7 linked regions of the Callithrix jacchus genome follow. The protein of the gene in region 2 interacts with the protein of the main gene of each other region in a pairwise test. Links are inferred from orthologs where the notes say so. Each region holds a gene or a part of one and is shown on either strand. Other genes may lie near its edges. The genes, in order: DVL2, RBPMS, RDH12, ARID5A, FOXS1, OTX1 and FOXP3.

Evidence for each region.
Region 1: the proteins of RBPMS (region 2) and DVL2 interact in a two-hybrid assay, tested with the Homo sapiens proteins (2 studies listed by BioGRID and IntAct). The two-hybrid records come from large-scale screens. The link is inferred for Callithrix jacchus from reciprocal best matches to the Homo sapiens genes RBPMS and DVL2.
Region 3: the proteins of RBPMS (region 2) and RDH12 interact in binary tests that used the Homo sapiens proteins (3 or more experiments, as listed by UniProt). The two-hybrid records come from large-scale screens. The link is inferred for Callithrix jacchus from reciprocal best matches to the Homo sapiens genes RBPMS and RDH12.
Region 4: the proteins of RBPMS (region 2) and ARID5A interact in binary tests that used the Homo sapiens proteins (3 or more experiments, as listed by UniProt). The two-hybrid records come from large-scale screens. The link is inferred for Callithrix jacchus from reciprocal best matches to the Homo sapiens genes RBPMS and ARID5A.
Region 5: the proteins of RBPMS (region 2) and FOXS1 interact in a two-hybrid assay, tested with the Homo sapiens proteins (2 studies listed by BioGRID and IntAct). The link is inferred for Callithrix jacchus from reciprocal best matches to the Homo sapiens genes RBPMS and FOXS1.
Region 6: the proteins of RBPMS (region 2) and OTX1 interact in binary tests that used the Homo sapiens proteins (3 or more experiments, as listed by UniProt). The two-hybrid records come from large-scale screens. The link is inferred for Callithrix jacchus from reciprocal best matches to the Homo sapiens genes RBPMS and OTX1.
Region 7: the proteins of RBPMS (region 2) and FOXP3 interact in binary tests that used the Homo sapiens proteins (3 or more experiments, as listed by UniProt). The link is inferred for Callithrix jacchus from reciprocal best matches to the Homo sapiens genes RBPMS and FOXP3.

The regions. Positions count from the first base shown.
Region 1 is NC_133506.1:73,717,465-73,720,964, forward strand, and holds part of DVL2 (segment polarity protein dishevelled homolog DVL-2), read right to left. Parts: coding exon 3,380-3,500; intron 3,291-3,379; coding exon 3,214-3,290; intron 2,009-3,213; coding exon 1,941-2,008; intron 1,759-1,940; coding exon 1,630-1,758; intron 1,511-1,629; coding exon 1,379-1,510; intron 1,245-1,378; coding exon 1,065-1,244; intron 618-1,064; coding exon 399-617; intron 288-398; coding exon 1-287.
Region 2 is NC_133514.1:31,650,394-31,653,893, reverse strand, and holds part of RBPMS (RNA-binding protein with multiple splicing), read right to left. Parts: intron 211-3,500; coding exon 60-210; intron 1-59.
Region 3 is NC_133509.1:102,737,844-102,741,343, reverse strand, and holds part of RDH12 (retinol dehydrogenase 12), read right to left. Parts: intron 3,014-3,500; coding exon 2,909-3,013; intron 2,083-2,908; coding exon 1,873-2,082; intron 1-1,872. UniProt on the Homo sapiens protein: Retinoids dehydrogenase/reductase with a clear preference for NADP. Displays high activity towards 9-cis, 11-cis and all-trans-retinal. Shows very weak activity towards 13-cis-retinol.
Region 4 is NC_133515.1:6,485,628-6,489,736, reverse strand, and holds the start of ARID5A (AT-rich interactive domain-containing protein 5A), read right to left. Parts: upstream 2,801-4,109; 5' UTR 2,734-2,800; coding exon 2,730-2,733; exon of another isoform or gene 2,209-2,729; coding exon of another isoform or gene 2,129-2,208; intron 2,128-2,128; coding exon of another isoform or gene 2,006-2,127; intron 2,004-2,005; coding exon of another isoform or gene 1,676-2,003; intron 1,675-1,675; coding exon of another isoform or gene 1,605-1,674; exon of another isoform or gene 1-1,604. UniProt on the Homo sapiens protein: DNA-binding protein that may regulate transcription and act as a repressor by binding to AT-rich stretches in the promoter region of target genes.
Region 5 is NC_133506.1:7,351,260-7,354,241, reverse strand, and holds FOXS1 (forkhead box protein S1), read right to left. Parts: upstream 1,816-2,982; 5' UTR 1,752-1,815; coding exon 756-1,751; 3' UTR 501-755; downstream 1-500. UniProt on the Homo sapiens protein: Transcriptional repressor that suppresses transcription from the FASLG, FOXO3 and FOXO4 promoters. May have a role in the organization of the testicular vasculature.
Region 6 is NC_133515.1:51,066,383-51,070,369, reverse strand, and holds the start of OTX1 (homeobox protein OTX1), read left to right. Parts: upstream 1-1,187; 5' UTR 1,188-1,255; intron 1,256-1,605; 5' UTR 1,606-1,674; intron 1,675-3,234; 5' UTR 3,235-3,345; coding exon 3,346-3,442; intron 3,443-3,987. UniProt on the Homo sapiens protein: Probably plays a role in the development of the brain and the sense organs. Can bind to the BCD target sequence (BTS): 5'-TCTAATCCC-3'.
Region 7 is NC_133524.1:49,792,928-49,795,949, reverse strand, and holds part of FOXP3 (forkhead box protein P3), read left to right. Parts: intron 1-593; coding exon 594-681; intron 682-900; coding exon 901-981; intron 982-1,991; coding exon 1,992-2,142; intron 2,143-2,849; coding exon 2,850-2,926; intron 2,927-3,022. UniProt on the Homo sapiens protein: Transcriptional regulator which is crucial for the development and inhibitory function of regulatory T-cells (Treg).

The sequences.
Region 1 (3,500 bases), on a different chromosome or scaffold from region 2:
GACCACCATCATGGGGTTGTAGGGGAGGGCCATGCCAGGGGGTGGTCCATAGGGATGGAGCCCCGGGTGGGCTCGGAGATTAGGGGCACCCCCACTTGAGCCTCTGGAGGAAGGAGGGCCCCCATCGCCAGTCCCACTTGGTTCCCCACCCCACCGAAGGCTGCCCCCTCGGCTGGAGGGCTCAGACTCGCTGCCACTGCCGGATTTGGACTCGGGGGCCCGCTCCTCAGGCCTCCCTGTGCGCCCTGCCCCCCCATCACTTCGTGTCGACCCACTGCTCCGGCTGCCTGTGGAGGGAGGGGAGGGGAGGGGCAACTGAGTCCTCACCCAGGCTCCTCCCTGGCTCCCCTCTGATCCACCCTCAGACCTGGCTTATTAGGTATCTGGGGGTGACTTACCCTCACTGTGCTGGCTGCTGGCACTGCCCCCACCATAGGTATAAGATGAAAGCTCATGGTAGGGTGGGGGCTGCGGGCTGTAGGGATGTGGGGCTGGGTACTGGTAGGAGAAAGTGGGCAGCAAGGGCCAGGGGGCAGCCCCAGGCAGAGGGGCCAGGGTGTCCTGGTCTGAAGCCCCACTGGAGCCATCGTTGTCATTGAGAGACAGGTTAACTAGGTCTGGAAAGCAAGGGAAGAGAGTAAATCACTGCTTCAAAGAGACTAGGGCCCTAAGACACTGAATGAGAGGAACTGGAACAGTTCTCCCAGACCCACCCACGATGGGGCTCAAAACGGGTTCACAAGGGCCTCTGACAGGAAACTCCCATCTACTTCTGCCATGAGGGCAGGACACAGCCAGGGCCACCACTAGCCCATGCCTCTGCGGGACTCAGAAAGAGGTGCACCTTCCCCCGGTGGACAGTCCTGCACCTGGCGTGGTTTGTCCAGCAGCGCATGGGTGGACGTCAGCCCCCATCCTTGGCCAGTGCAGGACCTAGTTCGGGACACATGCTGCTCAACCATCCATGGTGGCCCTGGCTGCGGTTTCTGGGCTAGGTCTAGGGTTGGAGAGGCAGAACAAGGCAGGCAGAGCCACACTCCCAGAGTCAGGGCAGGGGGACTCACAGCTCTCACAGCCACCACTGAGGTCTCCGAAGATGTAATAGCACTGCTCAGAGAAGGTGATCTTGTTGACAGTGTGTCGAATCAGGCCAGCTTTGAGCAGTCCACTGGCATATTTTCGGGCCTCCCGCCGCTCTGGAAAGCCCTCCACATGATGGTAGAGCCAGTCAACCACATCTGAGCCTGGGGGCACCCACAGTGGAAAAAGGGCTCAGGTTCTCCTTCCAACTCCTGCTCTCACCTCTGCCTGTGCTGTTCCCAGCTTCGGTCACCTCCTCCTCCCCTTCTCCAGCCACCTGCCCAGGACCCAGCCATACCCAGGAAGGCATTAGGGATGGTGATCTTGAGCCACATGCGGTCCCGGACTTCCAGCCCAGACTCTGGAGCTGCCATGGCCTTAGTGACCGATGCCATGTCTGTGTGGATGGAGAGACCCCGGCCCTCACAGCCTGGTGGAGGAGACAATGGGGCATCAAGAGGCAGGGTCACTCCCACAAGGGCCATGGGTCACACCACTTCGGGGCAGCCCTCTGGCAGGAGGGTGAAATGAGGTAGGCTGGCAGCTCACCATCAGGCAAAGAGGATCCTGATGTAATGGTGCTCATGGAGGAGGAGCCTGGGTAGGCTGGGAAGGTGCCAGTCAGAGCCGCGGAGTGGGACACCCAGGCAGCAGGGTCAATTGGCTGGATGGGCTCATCTGGGACAAAGATGGTACCAAAATGACCCCTTCTCAGTCCCCAAAAGCCAGCCCAGTCCCTCCCTGACTCAGCCTCCCGTTCTACCTCTGCCTGGACCTTCCTCCACACATTCCCCATAATCAGAGGCCAGCCCCAGCCACCCCCACCACCAACTTCAGGCCCCTCCCTGAGTGTCACTCACTTCGGGGGAGGGTGAAGTAGGCCTGAGGAGAGGGATCCCAGCACTTGGCCACAGTCAGCACGATGGGGCTATGGGGAAGAGAAGACCAGTCAAGGGCTCAGGGGAAGAAGAGGCCTGGGGTGGGGGGGCGCTGAAGCAAGGATGAATTAAGAGACACAAAGATGGGGAGAAGCCAGCATGTCTCAGCTGGGCTAGGGAAGGTGAGGGTGGAAGGCACCACAATGTGAATGACTCATCAACATGGAAACTCTTAAAAACATACTGCCAAGTGAGACGAGAGTACACGCTGTACAATTCCATTCAAAGAAAGTCCAAAGACAGGTAAAACCGCGCTGTTCAAGGATACATGCAAGGGTGGTAACTATGGAGGGAGGTAAAGCTTTTCTTTGTTGTGGTGATGACCCGGGAAGTCAGCAGAGTGACTAGCCCTGGGGGGTGAGGCATTGGGGAGCAGGAAGGGGGGTCTGTGGAGGGGGATCTAGGGTGTCAGCAATCTCTATTTGATGGTCTAGGTGGTGGCGACATGAGTATTCGCTCTAGTATTATTTGCTACATCACGAATTTGTTTCATGTACTTTGAGTGTTATGTCTTACTCCCCCTTTTTTTTCTTCAGAGTCTTGCTCTGTTGCCCATGCTAAAGTACAGTGGCATGGCAGTTCACGGCAACCTCTGCCCCTGCCCCAGAGTTCAAGCAATTCTCCTTTCTCACTCCCCACTAGCTGGGACTACAGGGGAGCACCACTATACCCAGCTAATATTTTTTTTTTTAAATGGAGTTTTCACTTCTGTTGCCCAGGCTGGAGTACAATGATACAATCTTGGCTCACCGCAACCTCCACCTCCCAGGTTCAAGCGATTCTCCTGCTTCAGCCTCCCGAGTAGCTGGGATTACAGGCATATGCAACCACACCCAACTAATTTTATATTTTTTAGAAGAGAGAGGGTTTCTCTATGTTGGTCAGGTTGGTCTCGAACTCCTGACCTCAGGTGATCCGCCCGCTTTGTCCTTCCAAAGTACTGGGATTACAGGTGCGAGCCACTGCACCTGGCCATTTTTCTGTTTTTAGTGGAGTTGGGGTTTCACCATGTTGGCCAGGCTGGTCTTAAACTCCCGACCTCAGGTGATCCACCCACCTCAGCCTCCCAAAGTACTGAGATTACAGGGGTGAGCTATTGGGCCTGATTGTCTTACCACTTATTAAAATTGCAAAACAAAAAGTTAAAGGGGGAAAAAAAAAAGACTGACGACCTGCAGCCTGCTCAGCAACTCACCCAGGCTTGTGCACAATGTCCCTCAGCACCCGCACGGCGTCATCATTGCTCATGTTCTCAAAGTTCATGTCATTCACCTGGAAGCGAGGGGAAGGGGGTCAGAAGCCGGCTGGGAGAGTATGAGGGCCCCCACACAGGGCAGCTCAATGGCCCTGCCCCAACACACCTGCAAAAGCATGTCCCCTGGCTCAATGCGCCCATCGGCTGCCACGGCCCCACCCTTCATGATGGAACCAATGTAGATGCCTCCATCTCCCCGCTCATTGCTTTGGCCCACAATGGAGATG
Region 2 (3,500 bases):
GCAACACATGAACAATTCTTAGTTGTTATTATTTCTAAATGAAAAGTAGATTGACTTACATGGCTCTCTGGCAATGAATTGAGGTACAGTGTTGGGCAGAGGAGTACTGGGGTTTGGAGTCCCTACGAGTTTATTCTTGGCCATCTTCGTGTTTGCCTTAGCAAACTCTAGTCGCAGTGTTTGCGGGATTTCAGGATCAAAGCGGATGCCCTTTGGAAATAAAGAACAAATGGAAGATGTTTTCATTTCTTTAGTCAAACCAGAATGGTGACAAAATAAACACCAGTAAACCTGGTCTATCAGGAAAAAAGGTCATTCTTACTACTTACACAGGTCACATGAAAAACGACAACACAAAGAATCCCAAAAGTCAGTGGGATTTAGTTTACTTAAAAAATTTAGTTACACAGATTTTCAATACCCACCTTTTAGACAAAAGGTTTCCAGTTTAAAATTTGAACCAGCAAATTCCTAGCACAGTTACACATCTTAATGTACAGGAATTTAAGTTACCTTTGACTCTATTCCTGAAAGTTTATCTAAAACATCATATTTAGTAAAATAAATCACAAACACTGTGAAGGACAAGTTAGGGCAAGAGAAGTCTAACTGGAACCATTCCACCATTCAAGAATACCTTCATTATTAAGCATCCAATAACATGAATTCTGGACCCTACGCATCAGAAAGATATCCAAAATAGACTGCATTTTAAATGTGCACCCATGGGACCCACTCAGCTCCCATGATTATATCACCATAGAAAGGGATTGGAGTCCTGAAAATGAGTCTCCTATTAACACAGTTGCCATCTAGTGTTCTGAATGTACACAAAAAGGCCTGTGGGCTCCAAAGCATCCCCTGCCCCCCACCGTTCTTCTTAATGAGCTTCAAGAAAAGTAAGAGCAATATCCACAAAAATAAGACTCTCTTACTCCAGAGACCAGGATGAACAACTCTGAACTTCACAGACTCAGCTTCAACATACAAGGAAGAGCCTGTGGCTGGATGGTAATGGCATCAAGAGGAAATAAGTGGGCAAGGGGAAGGAAAAAGAGGTCCTTAGAAAGGCCTAACAAAAGCCACAGAGCCCTGATCCAGAAGTCCTGGAGTGGGTGGGATTTCTTCATGAGCACTGAGGGCCATAGCAAAAGGGTTGGGGAGAATACCCTTGTGCATACCTAATCAGCACCAAAAAGCAAAAAAGACAGTGTCCATTTTGTGAAACATAAAAACAAATTTTCTTAAATTGGTGTTGGTAGTATGCGTTTTTTTCTTTTTAAATTTGGGAAACCTCAATATTATTTTGCCGAAAAAGTATACAAGAAAAAACAAAACCAAAAAACAAAGCTGCATTCTGAAGCAGGCTGGGGGAAGTCACAAAGGACCTCACTGAGATGGACCAACTTCCACCCTAACAAAGCTAGTAACACCACAGAATACATCTTTCCAAGAATGGACCTGCAGAACTGTGGTCTTTGCTGGGAGACAAGCACAGTCCTTGGGTGTCATGTACAGGTATGCTGTGGAAGGACTTGCTCATTTGCACCACACTCCATCAGATACACATAATAGCAACTTCCCATCAACTTCAGGGCATACTCCCTTGGCACTAAACTTGACCAACCTTCCTGTGAAGAAGACACTTCCTAAATCTGAGCTCGCATGACCATGAATCATGTGGCCCAGGCCACTGGGGATAACATGGAGTATCCTGGGACCCGATCGTGGTCCTCTAGAGTGTCTAGCCTCAGAAAACAAGGCTGCACATGCGAATTCCATGCCTCAGCTCTTTCACTGGTGTTCCAGAATCAACTGAAGCTCCGCATAATGTACTTGTCTCTTACACAACCTGGGCTGGTGGCTCAAGTCCTAAAACAGGCTGAACTAAGTTTCCCTCACTCCCTGTCCCCTTCTTTTTACCCCCTTCCTCCCATCTGAGCTAAAATAACATCAACATAGTGTTCCAAATCAAAGTTCCAGCATCCTTATTAAAAAAAAAAAAAAGCTCAGAAGTTAAAATGACCTAATTTGTTTGGCAGCTTATTCAGAGGCCAGAGGCTCAGAATACAAGCCACATTCCTCTAACATCTTTAGCAGCAATACCATATTTGGTAATCAATATCCTGCTCAGCTAAGTTTCCATCCATAGGGATTAGCCAAGCCAAAAACATTTTAAGTGTTATGAGTTGATGAAGAGGAGAGAGAGAGGGGCAGGAGAAGGGAGAACACGGAAATGAATAAGAGAAGAAAGAAAAGATGAAAGAAAGGCAGACAGGAAGAAGAGACAAAAGAAAAAACATTCCTTGTGTTTTTAATTAAAGCCTACTAAGATTCTTCTCTGGCTGCAGTTACTTAACATTACATGCTGTCAGGATAAGATTACTGGCAAGTGAAAGGGTGAACCTGTGTCTTTCAAAACCAACCTTTTCCTTTCTTGCTCATAATCCACTACTCTTCTCGTAACAATATGTAAATGGTGTCCTATTTATTACATGGACCAGAAAGGACAGTTTCTGAGTATCAATATATTAATTTGCAAATAAACAGTTACTTACAAGCACCTCAATCTGACTGGCTACAGGGACAGCCAACAGTCTCATCAACTGACCCAGGTTCCATATAATCTACAGAGACTGAATTCCCCACCCAGGACAAACTCTGAGAGATAAAGGACACTGCTTAGAAACAATGTATTTTTGTTAGTCCAGTATACTTAAGAGTATACCAGGGCAGTTTCATGCCAGGGAGCCAGGGAAGGCACCAGAGGAAGTGATGGAAGAGTAAAAGTTTACCAGGTGCAGTTCAGGAAAGAGCTCAGCAAATTTCTCAGTAACAGGATGCAGAAAGTGGGGTGGGGTGGCAGAACAAACAGGCTAGGGTGAAATCACAAAGGACCTCTTATGGGACCTCTTATGCTGTGAGTGAGGACTTTGGAGTGCGTGTGTGGCTGAGCCATTAGGGTTTTTAAATGGGAGGATAATATGATCACCTTTATATAGTAGATCTGTGATCCTCAAATGTTAGCAGAATCAACTTGGAGGACTTGCTAGAGTTTCTGATTCAGTAGCTCTGAGATGGAACCTAAGAACTTGCATTTGAAACAAGTCAGGGTAATGCTGATGCTGCTTGTGCAGGGAGCACATTTGAGAATCACAGTGGTTGGCGGTAACTCTAGAGGTGTAGAAATTAGACAGACTCAGTGAAGAGACCGGAACAGATCAGACATCGCACCATTAGAGCGGCCCACGAAGAGAAGCTGGGTGAGATGGCTACTGCCCTCTAAGCCTTCTTCTTTGGGAAGGGTACTCAGGGGCCAATGTCTGTGTTCTGCGCCTTTATTCCTCTGACCACAGCTGCCTACTTAAGGGGCAGCTGCAGCCCAAAATGACAAAAACTGTTTTCCCCTAAAAAGATTTCAACCTTGAGCCTATATAGAGACACAGAAAATGGTGTTGACCAAATTTGAGTCACCTTAATAGCCTCTCACTAGAGAAAAA
Region 3 (3,500 bases), on a different chromosome or scaffold from region 2:
TACTGTGGCTTTAGTACTACTAATAAACATGACAACATGTAGTGAGTAGTATCAATTATTGACAGTGGTATCTTTACCATTTCTACAGAAGGAGTTTAAGGATAGCAATCTGATTGGAAGGTGGTGGGTAAGACCTTATTTTGAGCTGATTTGCCTGGCAAGCACATTTTATGAGGTATAGATTGAGGGATAGTGATGCAGATTATGGGGGATTAACAAACCCCCTAAGACATCCCTGGTGCCATCACTATTTTTCAGTACCTATTATGTGCAAGCGCTGTGTAACGTTTTAAATGTATTCTCTCATTTAATTCTTAAAGAGGCTTGTGAAGTAGAATATTATGATGCCCATTAACAGCTAAGGAAACTAAGTCACAGAAAGTTTAAATAAATTGCCTAAGGTTATACCTGGCAGGCTGCAGGCCCAAGGTCTGATCAATAATGTAAAGTTAAGAATATGGAATCTAGACCTGGACTGTCTGTATTTAAATCCTGGCTCAGCTAGGAACCTTCCTTGGGCAAATTTCTTAATCTACCAGTGCCTGTCTTTTCATCTGTAGAGTGGGGGGAAATGATAGCACCCACCTCACAGGAATGTTGAAAGTATTAAATTAATTAAGATGTGTAGTGCATGGCACACATAAACCTCTCAATTATTGTCATAATTTTTTTATGATTACCATCTTCTACTACCTTGGCAATGTTCCCAAACTCTGATTTATCCACTGTAATAAATGGTCCCCTAGATCCACATATGTCAGAGCCACCAGCTCACCCAGTGCTCCAGGGGAGCACAGAATCATTAAGGAATAAGAACTGACCTGACCTGATTTTACAGCTGAGAAGATGAAGTCAGGGGAGGTTAAAGGAACTCGTCCACATCCACCTGGGGCTAGCATGTGGTAGGGCAAGATCTTGGACCCAGGGGTCTGAAATCCAGCCCCAACTCCCTGAGTCCAGGCAGTGGCAGCTCTGTAACTCAGATCACAGTGTGGACCTCAGCAAATGACACCCAGATGGAAGCACCCTAGGTTTAAAGCCAAGCACCCATGTTCCAGTTCTGACGCCCTCACCTGCCATATTCTCTTTAGTAGGCCATTTCCTTGGACCTCAGTTCTTCTCTATAAACTAGTAGTAATAATACCTGTTACAAAACTCCTCTGCCGCCAGATCACCTGAGGTCAGGAGTTTGAGACCAACCTGGACAACATAGTGAAAGCCCATCTCTACTAAAATTAACCAGGTGTAGTGTCATGTGCCTGTAATCCCAGCTACTCAGGAGGCTGAGGCAGGAGAATCGGTTGAACCCAAGAGGCAGAGGTTGCAGTGAGCCAAGATCGCACTACTGCACACCAGCCTGGGCGACAAGAGTGAAACTCAGTCTCGAACAAAACAAAACAAAACAAACAAAAAGCCTCTGTCTGTTGCAAAAAGCTATTGTGAAAATCAAATGAGATAAGAGATAAGATGTGACATAAATGTAAGGTAACTTCATGAGGTTCTTAACCCCTATTTGATTTTAAGCTTTCTGTGGGCAAGGACTCTGTTTTTATTCCATTTATAATTCTCCTTAATGCACAGAACTATTGCTGACACATGCATGTTTGACAGCCTGACTTCACAAGTTTCTGTGGACCTCTAATCTGGTCTGAGGACCGTTTTTGCTATTTTATTTTATTTTATTTTTTTTAATTTTTTATTGGATTATAGGTTTTGGGGTACATGAGCAGAGCATGCAAGACAGTTGCGTAGGTACACACATGGCAGTGTGCTTTGCTTTTCTTCTCCCCTTCACCCACATTTGGCATTTCTCCCCAGGCTATCCCTCCCCCGTTTTTGCTATTTTAATCCTGACCCTTTCTCCAGACTTACCTTGGAGTCTCTTGGCCAGCTCACGAGTAAAAAGCACATTGGCCAGCTTGCTGTGGCAATAGGCAAAACTCCTGCTGTAGCGCTTCTCACTCTGGAGGTCATGGAAGTGAATATTGCCAACGTGATGAACCACCGAGGACACGTTCACCACCCGTGCAGGGGCAGACACCTTTAGCCGCTCCAGGAGCAGGTAGGTGAGGAGGAAGTGGCCTGTGAAGAGAGCCAGCAGGGGAGATTGAAGGTGGAATGGCAGCCCGGGCTCAGCGTGTGGGAACTGAGAAGACTTCAGTGTCAGCTCACTTCCTTCTGGGTGTGAACCAATTTTGATGCCATGAGTAACACTAATGGTCAGTTTGGTCTGAGTTTGTGGATTCCTCAAAGCAAGAGCCAGAGCTAGACTACAAGTAAGGCAATCATACTTAATCAATATTACTTTGTACTTCTGCCCTTGACCAACCTGCTGGCTTTTAACTCCCCATCTGGCCATGATAGCATAACTAGGGACCCAGGTACACTTGTGTATAGACAGAAAGATGGAACAGTCAGGGAAAATAACATTAACTTAGGATCAGAAAACATGTTCCATGCTCTCCTCCCTAAAGTCTTCACCTTGAACTCTGCACCCCAGCCTGCCTCATACCTCAAGTTCTCAAGGATGGCCTACCTCCATGGACTAGCCAATGGCTTGGTTGGCCCTCAGAAAGATGTGACCTCTTCAGTCAAGCCCAGATCCCTGCATATCTCCAGTCCTGGCCCTGCCTGGCAAGCCTTGTACTGCCACTTCCCATCCAAGAATGACATTCCTCTCCTTGGTATTTCCTGAAATTTGCAGCCTCTTAATGGTATGGGTAGGAGGATCTCACTTTATTAGACTGATCAGGAGAAGGACAGTGAACAACACGTCAATGTGTGTAGTCTATTGGAATTCCTAGGCTCTATGAGGGCACCGGGACATTCTCCACATTTACACAGGGTCATCTTCCTAAAGAAAACAAAGCAGATGTGCCTCATTTTTTAGTCACCCAAAGATACTTACCCAGGTGGTTGACTCCCAGGTGGGTTTCAAAGCCATCAGCTGTCTTGGAATATGGACACATCATCACTCCCGCATTGTTGATCAGAACATGGAGCTGCTTTTCCTCTATAGGGCACAACCAATGAGATCCTGTGGTAAGTGAGGAGTCCCCTGGCTGCCTGTCACACTCCTGCAAAATTGTTCCTTGCCTCCAGTTGTCTTTACTGGAGTAAAATTTTGATAGGAGTCACTTGCTCTGCCCCTTCCTTCTAAGACAAGGTGTTGCCTCAGCAGTCAATAACTATCCTCCATTTGGACCTATCTCAGTGACATCCAATAAGCATTGTCATTGGGTTTCTAATGAGTAATTTTAGTTACTTATATCTTCCTGGACATTGTTCCTTCATTTATTTAGCAAATGTGTACTAACTACCGACTCTGGGCCAGGTGCACTCTGCTGGGCACTAGGAATCCAGTGGTAACACAAGACAGACATGGTTCCAGGATGTCCCTCATGGATTTCATAGTCCTTGGAAGAATCTGGTCATTTTCCAAGATCCAGAAGAACATGCCAGCAGCACAACTTCATCTTATGCCTATGGCCACAGAAGGT
Region 4 (4,109 bases), on a different chromosome or scaffold from region 2:
AAGAAAGACCTGTTGATACCTACTGAGATTCATTTTAAAAAACTACCTGTTACCTGAGAGAGTAGGGGGCCAGCTCTAGCCAGGGCTCAGCCAACCTGGCAAAGGGGAAATATGCAAAGGCAGGAAGGTGAAGGCAGTGGGGGTGGGGGGCAGTGGGCAAAAGTCACTGAAGACAAACTTAAATGTCTCAGGAGGCTTAGCCAGGACTAGAAGGTAGCTATGGGACTGGGCAGTGGGTGGATGTGGGGAAGTCAGCTGGTCCCCTGCCCTGGCCGACATCAGGCTGGAAGCAGATGAGAGTAGACCAAGAGGACAGATAGGCCAAGGGGCTCTAGCAACTCATGGCTGCACTTCTCATCAAGTTGGTCACTGCTCTGTATCTCAGTTTCCCCATCTACAAGATGGGCATGCTAGACTCAAAGCACCCAATGTTCTCAGCAGAAGAAACCGAGAAGAGAAAGGAGGCTTCCCCCACAAACCACAGTCTGCCTGTCCTGCTCCCTCCCCAAGGCGCCTCACTGCCGAGCCGGTGCTCCGGAAACATCAGCCTCCTGGGTGCAGCAGGATGAGCGCACTGGACTTACAGACTCCTGTTGCCCAGAGAGGGGCAGTGACTAAGTAGTCCACGGTGACACAGCTCTCAAGCTTAAGGGTCTGCTGGAGGCACACACCTCTTTCCTTCTATCTTTCCCTCCCCACTTTCTGCTGCCCGCCCCACTCACCCAGGGTGTGATGGGAAGGAAGTGACACTTCCTTTCATGAAAAGTCACGGACTGGGAACACTGCGTCAATTACCACAATAATGGTAACAGCAGCCTCAATAACAACCGGCAGACTCCGCCCCACCCCCTCGGCTGAGGTTGTTGGCTTAAGTTTCTCCGAGCTTGAGCTGGAGCGAAACAAAGACAGCCTTTGAAGCCGAGAAGCGGCGGGTCCACTCGGCGGCTGGGGAGGGGCGGCAGGCCAAGTCTCCGCGGAGCTTGCTCTGGCAGTTTGGGGAGGGGAGGCCTGCCAAGGGCTGAGCTGAAGCCAGCAATGAGGAGAAACGCGATGGACCTGGGCCCACCCCCATCCCCACCAGGGCACAGGTGCAGCTCAAGCCACAGCCCAGCCTCAGTACCTCAGCTTGAGGGAGGGAGAGAGAGACAGGGTCTGGGGGCAGCTGAGGTCACAGGAGCCACCAGAGGGTAAAGAAAGGGAAGAGGGTGCGCGGGACACTGAATGTGAGGCTACCAACTTCCAAGCCCCACTCTCCCTGTCCCTCTTACCGGGCTCTGGGATGTCCTAAAAGCCCCTATTCCAGGATGGGGCTCAACCCTCACTGTCCCGCCCCACCGAGTCTCGGCCACGTTTGGTGGTGACTGACAGTGAGAACTCCGCAGGTTTCGTGTGTTCCCATTGCACCTACGGGGGGCAGAAGCTCAGAGGTGCCAGGTGACTTCTCCAAGATGTCTCCCAACTGTAGAGGCAGATTCTCGGAGGCCCTTTCCGTCTCTGCCGCGTCAAGTTCTAGGCCCCAGGCGGGTCCCTACGGCCTAGGTTGGGCTCTGAGCTCTGCTGTGGGGTGAAGCCCTCGAGCCCCCATTTCCCACTCCTCCTGTGCTCTAGCGTTGCCTGTAGTCACAAAGACGCCACCATGCGTGTGGGCTTCCACCAACGAGGCCTGGGTGGGGCGAGGCACCTGTTGTCCTCCCTTGGTGCCCGCAGAGCCCTCCTTGCTGGCCCAAGACTCTGCAAACAAAGGGGCACTGGCCCCGCAGTGCCTCGGGACCCCCTGGGTCCTCGGGAGTCCTTCATCCCGAAAGCCCTACCACGCCGGCGCGGAGTGGAGGGTGACGCGACCCTGGCCCAGGCGACTCCTGGACACCGCTGAGTGACTGTGTGCGGTCCCGGGTTGCCCCGCAGCTCGGGCCGAGCGCGAAGCCAGGAATCTCCCGCACGCTCGAAGCCTGCGCTCCTGCCCTCTTCTCCCTGAGCTCCCCGGCCGCCAGCCCGTCCCTTCTCAGACCAAGGGAAGGGAAGGGGACACACTCGGGACAGGAGAGGAGAGCAACCAGGGAAGCGACCCCTCTCCTGCGGGGCTGCGATGGGTGCGCGGAGAGACCCGAGAGGAAAAGAGAGAAAGGACAGGGGGCGAGAAGCCGGGCGCCCCGGACCATCGGCGCAGCCCGCGGCCGAAAGAGGAACAGTCGAGCCTTCAAAGCGCATTGAGCAAGTTCTTCACACCCGCTCAGCCCCTTTCAGGAAACGGCGGCCGCAGAGGAAAGCGCCGCGCGCCCTAGACCCGGCTCCTGTGCCCCGCGGCGCCGCGGTTCTAAAACCCGCGGGATGTCACGGGGCGGAGGGGTGGCTGCCGACAGCTGTCACAACAAATTAGCTGAGCCCAGCTCGAGGTGGAAACCGCAGCAGGAAGTGGGACTACAGAGACGTACCGGGCTAGGCACATTTCAGGCAGGAGTCGGCGAAAAGAGTTTCGAGATAAACGCCCGGGAAGCCCCTGGCCGCCGAAACTTTTTGTCTTTCCTTTTCTCGAAGCGCGAGCGGACGCCCAGACTCACCCTTTCCCCGCCGGCCGGGGGGCGTTGAAACTATGGGCCAGGCTTGCTCCCCGGGACCCGCGCCCCTCTCCGCCCCCCACGGCGCCACCGACGGCGACGAGGATTGGGGGGACCCGGCGCCACCGCCTTGGCCCTCCCTGCAGATCCTGGGCCGTCCGCAGAGCCACTTACCCATGGCCCGGCGAGGTCCGGCGGCGCCCGCCCAGAGACCCTCAGCGCGTAGCCGTACGGACTCGACGCTCCTGTAGCTACTGGCTCACGGTGCCGCCGGCCGGTCGCCTCCCCGCAGCCCCGCCCCGCCCCGCCCCACTGTGGGCTCCCATTGGTGGGCCCGGCTCCTTCGTACCGGGACCGCCCCCGGAGCCCAGGGACCTCTGGGAGTTGTGGTGCGCGCCCTCCCTTCCGAGTAGGGCCCCTAGAATAGGCTCCTTTCCTAGAGGGGCAGAGGCAGGACTCCCAGGAATCATTGCTGCCTTGTGCCTCAGTTTTCCCGGAGGCAAAACTAGAGTTTGGATAAATCCTCCTTGCTTTCAGTAGAGCACTGAGGTCTACACAGTAAGTTTTGCTTACTGTGGAGTAAGCAAAGTGCTTTTGACTTTGATTTGAAAGTGACCCTGTGCATTTCCCACTTCCCACCCAGCCCAACATAGAGGGCCAGGTGAGGCCCGGAGCAGCGGCTCACGCCTGGAATCCCTTCGCTTTGGGAGGCGGAGGCAGAGGCGGGCGGCTCACTTGAGCCCAGAAGGTAGAGGCTGCAGTGAGTTTTGATCACACCACTGCACTCTATCCTGAGCAACAGATGGAGACCCTGCCTCAAAAACAAACAAACTCAAAACAACAACAAACAGGAGAGGTGGTTAGTGTGAGTTAGACAAGGACCAAACTAGTAAATCCTTGGCCTAGGCTCTGTGGCTAGGCCCGCCAGTAATAGTCAATGTCCACATACCTAATGCAGAGTGGAAGCTACAAGCTGAGCAGTCCAAAGAGAGGGCATGAGTTCAGGCTGTGGGAGGTGGGAATGAGGCCTAGGGTGAATGGAGGCAGGAGGAGGTGCCCAGCCAGACATAGCAGTAACTTGGACCTGTGGGGGCCAAAGTGGAGGAAACAGTGGGTCAGGGTTTCAGTCTTAGCAGGTGGCTAGTTAGGACATGAACCCTGTTCCTAGCAGGGACAGGGTTCCCTGTGTAGATTTTGTGTAGAAGCTACACAAAAATCTTTGTTGATGAATTTTAATACGCTCTATGCACTTGACACCATCACTGTCCTCATTTTATAGGGTAAAACTGAGGTCTGCTAGATTAGCTCAAGTAACACAGCTGGTAGGTCCTCATTTTATAGGGTAGAACTGAGGTCTGATAGATTAACTTAAGTAACTCAGCAGGCAGGTGTTGGAGCCAGAGCTAGACCCAGGCATCCCCCCGACTCCCTTTGCACCCATTACTGACCACTCGTCATGCTGGTGCTCCTCCTTACACTAAAGGAGCGGACCAGGGATGTAGTTTGGTGAACCTGAAATTCTGACCCTTATCCTTTGGCCCTGGGCTGGAAGAT
Region 5 (2,982 bases), on a different chromosome or scaffold from region 2:
GGTCAGAGGCTGGAGGGTACAGCCACACAGATGTGGCTTTGATATCCTCTCTGCCACTCATTTGCCATCCGGAGTTGGAGCTGGTGAGCCTGTTTCCACCATTGTAAACGGGGCCAGCGTTCCATATCACACAGGTGAGATGATATATACAAGCCCAGGACAGGATCAGTGTCACAAATTATCAGAGTTATGATGACTGCTCCTATGGGGGCTGTTGAGTCCCAGCGTCTGAGACGGGAGAATAGGTTGCTCAGGCCAGCCCAGCCTTGCCCCTGCCCAGTCTCTCCCTTGCCTGTATCCTTCTCTCTCTGCCCTTGTTCTCTGCCTCCCCTTCCTCTCCCTTTCTGGGAAACTCCCTGAGAAAGTCCCCAGCAGGAGAAAAACCTCATGTGAGACATTGCTACCCGGGGGCTCTGCCCCGAATACACAACTTACCAGCCACAGCCACCCCACATACAACCAGGCACCCTGGTCCTCAGCCACCAGGCAAGCTGACCCTCATGATCACATGGCTTTATTGGCCCTGAGAGCCACAGAGTAAGTCCCAAGGGGTCCTGCTTCCCCTCACCCCCAAGTTTGTCCGGAGGCCTCAGGGGCCTGGCTGAGCACCGCTTCCATCCTGGATTTTCATCCTGGTTGTCCTTGTCTCGCCAGGGCTGGGGACTTCGAGAGTTCTCCAGATCCTAGAGCCAGGCTCAGCCCAGAGGGTGTAGTTGGCAAGGGCCCTGCAGGGACTGCCCGAGGCGAGGCTGCCTTTACTCAAAGAAGAACATTCCTGGCGTCCGGTATAGGCAGGGGGTCAGCCCCAGTGGGTAGCCGGAGCCTCCCTGGACAGTGAAGCCACCTGCAACCCAGGGTTCCTTGGGGTCAGCTGGCAGGGGCAGTGGGGCTCGGAGTGAGGCTGGAGGGGTGGGTGGTGCAGGGGAGGGGGCTGCTGAGGCCAAGAGGTGCTCAAGGCCTGGGTCAGTCCCCATGCAAAAATTCAGCGCCTGCAGCCGGCACTGGTAGCTGCTCTCGATGCCTGCCTCTGGGGACAAGGCAGGTGTAGGGACCTTGTTAAAACCCTCAGCCTCAGAGAAGCCAGCAGGAAAGCCAAATGCTGGGCATGAGGAAGATGCGGTGGCCACAAGGAGCTCCCCTGGGCCTGTAGGCTTGGGCGTGGAAATCTCTTTGGGCTCCATGGGTGGCCGAGGCCTGGCATCAGCGGTTGCTGGGCACATACTGGCTGGCATGGCCCCCACCAGACCCCCAAAGCTTAGGCCCTTGTGGTCTGGCAGCTCTGGCAGGAATGAGCACTGCCTGGCGGTTGTGGTGTTGGGGCCTCCTGGGTCCTGGCTGGTCGCCCTGAGGGGTCCACGGCGTGGCTTAGTAGGGCCCCTGGTGCCCTCCGCACCTGTCCGCCGGGTGAAGCGGCGGCGGCGGCGTAGGAAGCTGCCGTGCTCAAACATGTCGTGGCAGTCAGGGTCCAGCGTCCAGTAGCTGCCCTTGCCTGGCTTGCGGTCATCGCGGGGCACCTTGACAAAGCACTCGTTGAGTGACAGGTTGTGGCGGATGCTGTTCTGCCAGCCGGGCCGGTTGTGGCGGTAGAAGGCAAAGCGGCCCATGATGTAGCGGTAGATGCCACTAAGGGTGGCCCGCTGCCCCGGTGAGCTCTGGATGGCCATAGCAATAAGGGCGATGTAGCTGTAGGGAGGCTTGGTCGACTCGGCCGCAGGGGCCTGGGGTCCGGGCGGGGGCTGCTGCTGCTGCATGCTGGCTGTGTTGGCCGGGCTGCCGGGACCTGGCGGGTCAGGCTCCGTGTCCAGGGCTGGCGTCAAAAACAGCCTGCCCGGGCTGGTTAAAAGGTCCACTGGCCCAGCCTCCCAGCCTGGAAAGGCAAAAAGGGGTGGGTCTGCTGAGCTGTCCTCCCCTCCTCCCTCGCCCCACTCCCTCAAGGGCCAAGAGAGGCGGGCAGGAGAGGCCAGTAGTGGGAGGCCAAGCAGCTGCCAGGGACGAGGAGGTGGGAAAGAAGGGACTGAGACCCTCAGCCCACGTGTGCTGGGAGGTGGTGGCTGGGGAGGGACAGGATGTGAAACTGAGCACGCCAGAGACAAAACCAAAATGAGACAGGCAGAAATGTATGAAACAGAGACAGGGAAAAAAGAGAGACAGAGACAGAGAGAGGAGGGAGAAAGAGAGGAAGAGACAAAGATAAGACGAGGCAGATACAACGAACAGAGACACAGAGGCTCTCACACACACACACACTGACACAGACACACACAGAGACACATACACAGACACACACACACAGACACGCAGACACACAGACACACACAGACATGCAGACACACATACAGACACAGACAAACACACAGACACACACATAGACATACACACAAGCACAGACACACACAGACACAAACACACACAGACATACACACACACAGAAACACACAGAGACAGACATACAGACACAAACACACATAGACACACAGACACACACACATAGACATACACACAAGCACAGACACACAGACACCCAGATATACACAAACACACACACAGACACACAAGCACACACATGTATTAAACAGAGAAAGTGAGAATCACTGAGCAGGCAGAATCGAGGAAATCCACAGAGCCAGAGAGAAAGGAGACACAATGAGACACAGGTGCAAACACAAGGAGTGAAAGGAGTGAATAGAGAGAGAGGAGGAGAGGCAGGGCCTGAGCCCCGTCTCCCTAGAGTGAGAAAAGCCCCAGGGGCCTCTCTGATCTCTACCTCTACTCCCGCTTTTCCCTCTCCTCCTCCCAGGCCTGTGGTCTACTGCCTTCTCCTGTGGGGCAGAGCCCTTGGGGCCACAGCACTCCTACCCCACCTCCTAGCTCTGGGGTGTGTGCAGGGAGGGGCACCTAGGATGGTAATAAGGAGAGTCCACGAAATTCAGTTCTGCTGAGCCCCTGTCGCCCCCTAGTGACTGGTCTGGGAAGGACAGCTAT
Region 6 (3,987 bases), on a different chromosome or scaffold from region 2:
ACTTTTTACTACTCCTGTCGGGGTGAGGGAGTAGGAGATTAGAAACAAGGGGTAGAAATTCCTCGAAAGGTAATAAAGTGCCTAATTTTCAGGAGGAGGTGCCATTTAAAAGATTCGCCTTACTCGGAGTTGGGACGAAAACACTTTTTTTGCACTTTGAAAAGTCCACCCAGGTAGACGCGTTTGGGAAGTTTGTTCGGCTAGGAAATGGGCTTCACATATACGAACAATCCGGGGAAATCGCCTCAAGGAGGCTCCTTACGCAGCATGTGGAAAAAAAGTTGAGGGCAGGGGTCTGTGGCCACATTTTTCATCTAAAAGTCCCTGTTAGAGGGAGACTAGGAAAGACAGAGTGTGAAAAAGAAAGTTTCCTAGCAAAATGTTTGAATTAAGAAATAGGGTGTGTGTGTGAGGGGAAGAGGACGCTGGGTTCCAATGTTTCAGAAGAAGCGCTTAAGACTTGTAAACACCCTTGGTGGGGACTGGGAACCCCGGGAGAGGCCGACGAGCAGGTAAGTGGCGGCGCCCTTCCAGTGGGTGCTCTTCTCAGGCGCGGGAGTCCCGAGGCGCCGAAGAGAGATCTGCGCGCCCGGAGCTGCTCCCGCGCTCTGCAAAGTAGCCTGTGCTGGCACGAGCCGCCCGCGGCGTCGGTCTCAGGTGGCGGCGCAGAGGAAGGAAACGTTGGGGCCCGCGGCGCCGGGAGAGGGGCAGACGCCCGGGCTCTTCTAGTCCGCCGCCCCCGAGTCCTGGCGCCCACATCCGGGCGGCAGAGCCTGGTAGTGCCTCGGAGAGCGAAGGAACCGGTTCTCCAGCACCTCGCGCTCTCCGAGCCACTCCCTCCAGAGCGCCTAAAGCGCGAGAGAAGGGCCGGGGGGCCCAGGGCAGGCTTGGGGACCCGCGGTCCCCTCAGCGGCCAGGACTCCGGCTCTCCGCTCGCCTTCCTCGGCTAGCTCTGCGCCGCTTTTGCCAGCCGAGTTAGCGCGCGACCGGGGCGGGGCGGGCGGGCGGGCGGGGAAGGCGGGGAGTGGGGGGCGGGGGAGGGCGGGGGCGCGCGGAGGTAACCCCCGGCTCGCGCTGCCATTGCCCGGCTCCCTGTCACTCAGCCCGCGCGGGGCCCCCGATTGGCGGCCTAGCCCCGTTACGCACTCGCCTCGCGTTCACATACCCGGGGAGGGCAGTAGAAAGGTGATCAATCTTCATCAGGCTACATTTCCAATCACCTAAACAACCGAGCAAGACAAGCCACTCCGACAAGGTAAATCGCTTGATTTATTTAGTTTGCAAAGTGACTGTGCAGGACTTCCCAGTCCCCACTGCCTCCACGTTGTATCGGGAGTGCCGCGGCAACGCCGAGCCACCTCCCAACTCTGCCACTCGAATTACCCCCCTTGCGGCCCCTCGGCGCGATTCCCGGTCAGGCAATGTCCTGAGAACGCGTGGGGCTTAGCAAACAAAGTGTCTGTGCAATAAAGTGAAACCCTTAGGGACACGCACAAAGCCACTGGAAAAAAAGATAGACGTGGGAGGAAAGAAGTTGAGAAAAGAAAGAAACCGGGGGTCCTAGACCAGCCGCCGGGGTAATTCCTGTGCCGCTCTGTTTTGCAGGTTGGCTGCCCGGCGGGTCTCTGTGAGGGATCCAGGTAGATGGTGAACGGCCCCGGCAGCTGAGGGCAGGTAAGGAGAAAGCCGCGGGGCCACCCGGGACTCCGGGAGCGCGTTGGTTACCCTTACCTCCCCCTCCTCAAATGGATCCTCGCTTCCCGGAGCCCCAGCAGGTGGGCGGGGCTGGGGGAGCGGCCTGACTCCCCTCTGGGTGCGCGGAGGACCCCGGGGCGCTGTCGCGGCCCGCCGCCCCCTCCCCCGCCTCCTCCGAAGTAACCGAGCTGAAGTGCTAAGTTTGGAGAAAGTCTTTGAAAACTCAGGCTGCAGCCTCGCAGAGCCGTCGCAGCTTTGAGTCCCATTTTCCTTTGGCCTAAGAGCCCTGGCTGCTTCCCTTCTCGTTCCCTCCCTACAAGCTGGACTCCTCCTCTGGCCTTGGGTCCGAGAGGACGGGGGCAGGAACGGGGCTGGGGGGAGCTTCTTTAACTCCAACTTCTCTCCCTAAACGTCCTAACCCGAGTCCCTGGCCTGCTTCACAGCGATCCCGCAAAGCGGGGTGTAGCGACGGCCCCCTAGAACCCCAGGCCCACTTTCCAGTGCCCCTCCCTGACCCTTGAGAGTGGCGCCTGGGTTCTCGGCAGCAGCGGGGGCAAGGCTTCGACCTCCCAGCTCGGGTCTGCGTGGGCTCTGCCGCTGAGGCCTAGTTCTCTGTTCTCAACAGTGTCCTGGGGCCTCGGGTTCAGCTACTAGGATGGCAGCATGCAACTTGCTGCCCTCTGGCTTCGCAAATCTCAGAGACCCTTTAAGGTGCTGGGCCCCAGCCTTCACCCCCTGCTGGGACCATGTGGTCAGAAGCCCAGACTGGGCAGAGAGAAGGACGGGTGCGCGCTGGCAACGAAGGGCGATGGCCGCAGCTGAGGCGCTCCTGACCTCAGGCCGCGTCTTGGGATCGCCCCCTCTACAGTGTTCCCTTCAGCGTCCTCTGGCCCTCTGCGGCCTGGGCCCGTTGCTGCGGTTGAAGTGTGGTGTGATTCCGCGTCAGCGATTTTTCAGTGGTTGGGCATAGAGAAGTTAGCTGGAATGGTTATTGTGGGCTCTGGGGCAGGGACGCAGCCCTGGACGCGTTAGAAGAAACCAAGTGTCTAGGTGCATAAGAGGTTGAGGTGCAGTTAGTCCTCCACATTGCCTCACCTTGGCCCTTCATAGTCTCTACCTTTTCAAAAACACTGAAACAAAACGAAACAACCCTGCATGCTCTGGGCGCCCTGCCCCGGGCACCAAGTGAACTTTTGTTTGTGCAACATGAAGCCGGCTTCTGCCGGACTCAGAATTTTGCCTGGACTTGGGAGGTTGTACATTCTGTGTTTCCAGCTCTACCTCCCAGCCTGGCCCTGCTTTTAACTTCTTACTCTATGGACTCCCTACCAGTATCTTTGGCCCATTCCGAGCCTAGAGCTAGAGGACCTAGAAAACTTTACTTTTCAAAGCAACTGTGGTTTCTGGGCTAAGTCCTTGTGGAGGCTAGTTGACCACCCTGCGGAGTTCTGTAACCTGCCTTCCCTGTCTATCCCCGGACAAGACTTGAAAGCCAAGTGCCTCCGACTGATGGTTTCCGTGTGTATCGTGTCTCCATAGGCCAGGCCCCCAGACGCATCAGAGCCTGAAGGACTGCGCAGTGGGAGCCCTGCACCGCTCCTGGCCCCGGGCCCCCTGGATCTGTCGGGGCGCCTCCACCCAGCTGTTAGCATGATGTCTTACCTCAAACAACCCCCATACGGCATGAATGGGCTGGGCCTGGCCGGGCCTGCCATGGACCTTCTGCACCCCTCCGTGGGCTATCCGGGTGAGCACCGGCCTTCCGGCCCCTGCCCAAGACTCTCAAATGTTGGGGACCCTCAGACTGTTGGGTTTGAGTGTAAGCTTTGTTGCCGAGCAGGCCCAGGGAGCCGATTGCCTAATCTGTTTACAGTACAGGGCCCACTGTCGGCGCACTGAGCAGACTCGTGGGCGCATGAGGTGGCCAGGGCTGAGAAAACGCCCAACGTGCGCCTTCCCGGCCGGGTCACCGACAACCTTTCTCCTGTTGTGGTCCCATCGCCAGCGCAGAGCGCATTTACCCGCGGATTTGCTAGTAAGGGGCGGCTGATGATTTTCCTTTTCTCCCAACATGGAATGAGTAATCTGGACACTCGTTAGGCCCTGACCGAAGGAGCCAAACTTTCCTTATGTGAAACGGCAGGTGGACTGAAAAAGGAAGATTCTTTCTCTCGAATTAAATTGTCCTCTAAATCAATGTCCTGCACCCATTTTTGCACTGCTGTAGAGGACGACTTGAGTCAAACCCCGGTTTCTTTTTTAGCTCCCACTCGTTTACACCATTTATTTTCT
Region 7 (3,022 bases), on a different chromosome or scaffold from region 2:
TAACTGCTTTGCCCTGCTACTCCTCATGCCAACATGCCAGCCTTATTCCATGTCTCCAAAGTTCCAGTTCTTCCAGATGGCTGCTGCTGCCTCCTCTCAGTTCCTCCACCTCTCCCTCCCTCTCCCTCTCCTTCTCCCCCCACTGTCTCACACTCACACACACACACACACCCCACTCTCCCTCTCCCTCTCTCTCTCTCACATACACACACACATACCCCACACACTATGCACAATCCTTAGCAGCAACTCGAATGTCCTGTCCTCCTTGTAGCCAGGCTTTGCATAGGCCGTCCCTTCCACTCAGTGTCTTACCCACTCTCACCTGCCTCGCCCCATCTCAGCTCACCACACTTCCAACATTACCTCCAGCACCCTGGCCAGGTGGTAAGCTCAGCCCTGACATGCAGTAGGTGCCAAGTGGCACATGTTGAGGGAATGAGGGGTGTGAGAGGGAAACTGATGTAGAAAGGGGAGGGGAGCTGGAGCTAAGAGGAGAGACCTCCCAGAGGGCCTGCCCCCCCACCCATTCAGAGCGTTGAGCCAGGCCAGCCTTGTCATGGTCACCTGCATGGAATCTTCTCCCTACTTAGGCACTGCCAGGAGGACCATCTTCTGGATGAAAAGGGCAGGGCGCAATGTCTCCTCCAGAGAGAGATGGTACAGTCTCTGGAGCAACAGGTAATTCTGGGGCAGTGGGGGATAGGGGACAGGGGATAGGGAATAGGGATAGTGGGGAAAACCTTCTGTCCATCACCTGCCAGAAACCAAGTTCACCCGGGACGCGGGCTAGTATAAAGGAAGGAAGAAGAGCGGGCACTCCCATTGAAGACCATAGCCTGGGCAAAGATGTGGCAGAGAAAGGCCAGGCTGAGGCCTCATGTTTGTGCCATTTCACAGCTGGTGCTGGAGAAGGAGAAGCTGAGTGCTATGCAGGCCCACCTGGCCGGGAAAATGGCAGTGCCCAAGGCTCCATCTGTGGTGAGCAACCCCAGGCCTGCTGGTGGCAGACTCAGACTGCTGGGGGGCAGGGAGGAGGCCTGCAGGGTGCAGGGAACCTAACCTCACATGCAGGCCCTGAGAGCTAGGGGCCCCTGTCCCCAGCTCCAAACATGCCGGGACCTGGAAATCTATCCCCCTCCACTTGCAAACCCTCTGACCCTAAGATTCCCAAACACTGTGATCCTGAGTTGTCAAAGCAAATGCAAATAGCCAAAGACACAGGCTGTGTGCCAGCAGGACCAGCTATGTAACCTACAGGCCCCTTGTTCAGATTTCAACATGGCAACCACAGAGCATTAAACAAAGCACAGGGTGTCACATAACCACACAGGTCACATGCGCATGAAGCCGCCCTGGGGGCCAGGCACTGTTTCTGAGTGCTTTGCTGGTGGTAATTTATTTCTCAGGATGTCAATATAGAGATTAGGAAAATTGAGGCCAGGGAGGTTTAGGTGACTTTCCCAAGGTCACAGTTGGGTGGCAAAAACCCCTATTCAACCCCAGCTCATGGTCCCAGCATCTGTGGCCACATATGGTGTCTGCACCTGTGCTCTAATAAATACGACTCATGCTGTTTTGTGGGATTCCACCCCAGACTGGAATTAAGAAGAGGGCGTCCTTGTTTTGAAAAACACTGTTTTAAAAATAAAGTAGGGGCAGACGAAGTAGCTCACGTCTGTAATCCCAGGACTTTGGGAGGCTGAGATGGGTGGATCAACTGAGGCTAGGAGTTCGAGACCAGCCTGGCCAAAATGGTGAAACCGCAGCTCTACTAAAAATACAAAAATCAGACAGATGTGGTGGTGGGTGCCTGTAATCCCAGCTACTCGGGAGGCTGGGGCAGGAGAATCGCTTGAAACTGGGAGGCGGAGGTTGCAGTGAGCTGAGATCACACCACCGCACTCCAGCCTGGGCAATCAGAGCAAGGAAAAAAAAATTAAAAAGTGGGAAGTTTAAGCCTTTGGGTCACCAGCCTCTTCCCCTCCCAGGCATCATCTGACAAGGCCTCCTGCTGCATTGTAGCTGCTGGCAGCCAAGGCAGCATGGTCCCAGCCTGGTCTGGCCCCCGGGAGGCCCCCGACAGCCTGTTTGCTGTGCGGAGGCACCTGTGGGGCAGCCATGGAAACAGCACATTCCCAGGTAAGAATGGTCCTTGCACTACACAGTGTCCCCAAGCTCCTAATCCTGACCGGCTCTGGGAGGAGGGTGCAAAGGAGCTCCATACTGCCTCTTCCCACCACCACCACCACAGCTACCACCACTCAGCCTTTGGGAAAATGCATCCGCTCACAAAAGCTTCCTCTCAGGATGTCCGTGACCTAAAAGCCCCGTATAGTCTCAAGTGTCCTGCCATAGCCCTGTCTCCGTTGGGGATTGGGGTCATGCGTCACCCACTCTGAACTCCAGCTACTCCATTCAGTCATCAGAAGGGAGGGCCCTGCTAAGGAATTACAGGGACACCTCCTTTCCTCCCCTGACTAAGGAAAATGGGATGGATTCACCTAAGCTCACCAATCCACTGCTCTCCACCAGGCCTGGCCTCTGGGCTTAGCAGGGATCAGAGACCTTGACTGGCATCCCAGCTCTGCCATTTAACCTCTTGCATCCCTTTGGTGTGCAAGTTACTCCGCTTCTTTTCAACCTCAGGGAGAACTACTTTGGCAGAAGTGGTGCAAAGAATAAATTAAACAACTTATGTCAGGTGCTCAGCAGACAGTACCTGTGCCCGTGGACACGGGTGTTGATGGTGGGATCTCAGGCCTGTAGACTCACCTTGTAGGGGGAGGGGAGAGGGAGCTAGCTAGGGGGTCCTACATGGGGCCTGATTCATCCCCACCCTCTGCCAGAGTTCCTCCACAACATGGACTACTTCAAGTTCCACAACATGCGACCCCCTTTCACCTATGCCACGCTCATCCGCTGGGTAAGCAGAGCAGCTCAGCCCCAAGGAGGAGGAAGAGAAAGACGGGGTGGGGGACCTGCCTCCTGAACTCCTGTCTCTCTCTGAGTGCCCTCAGAG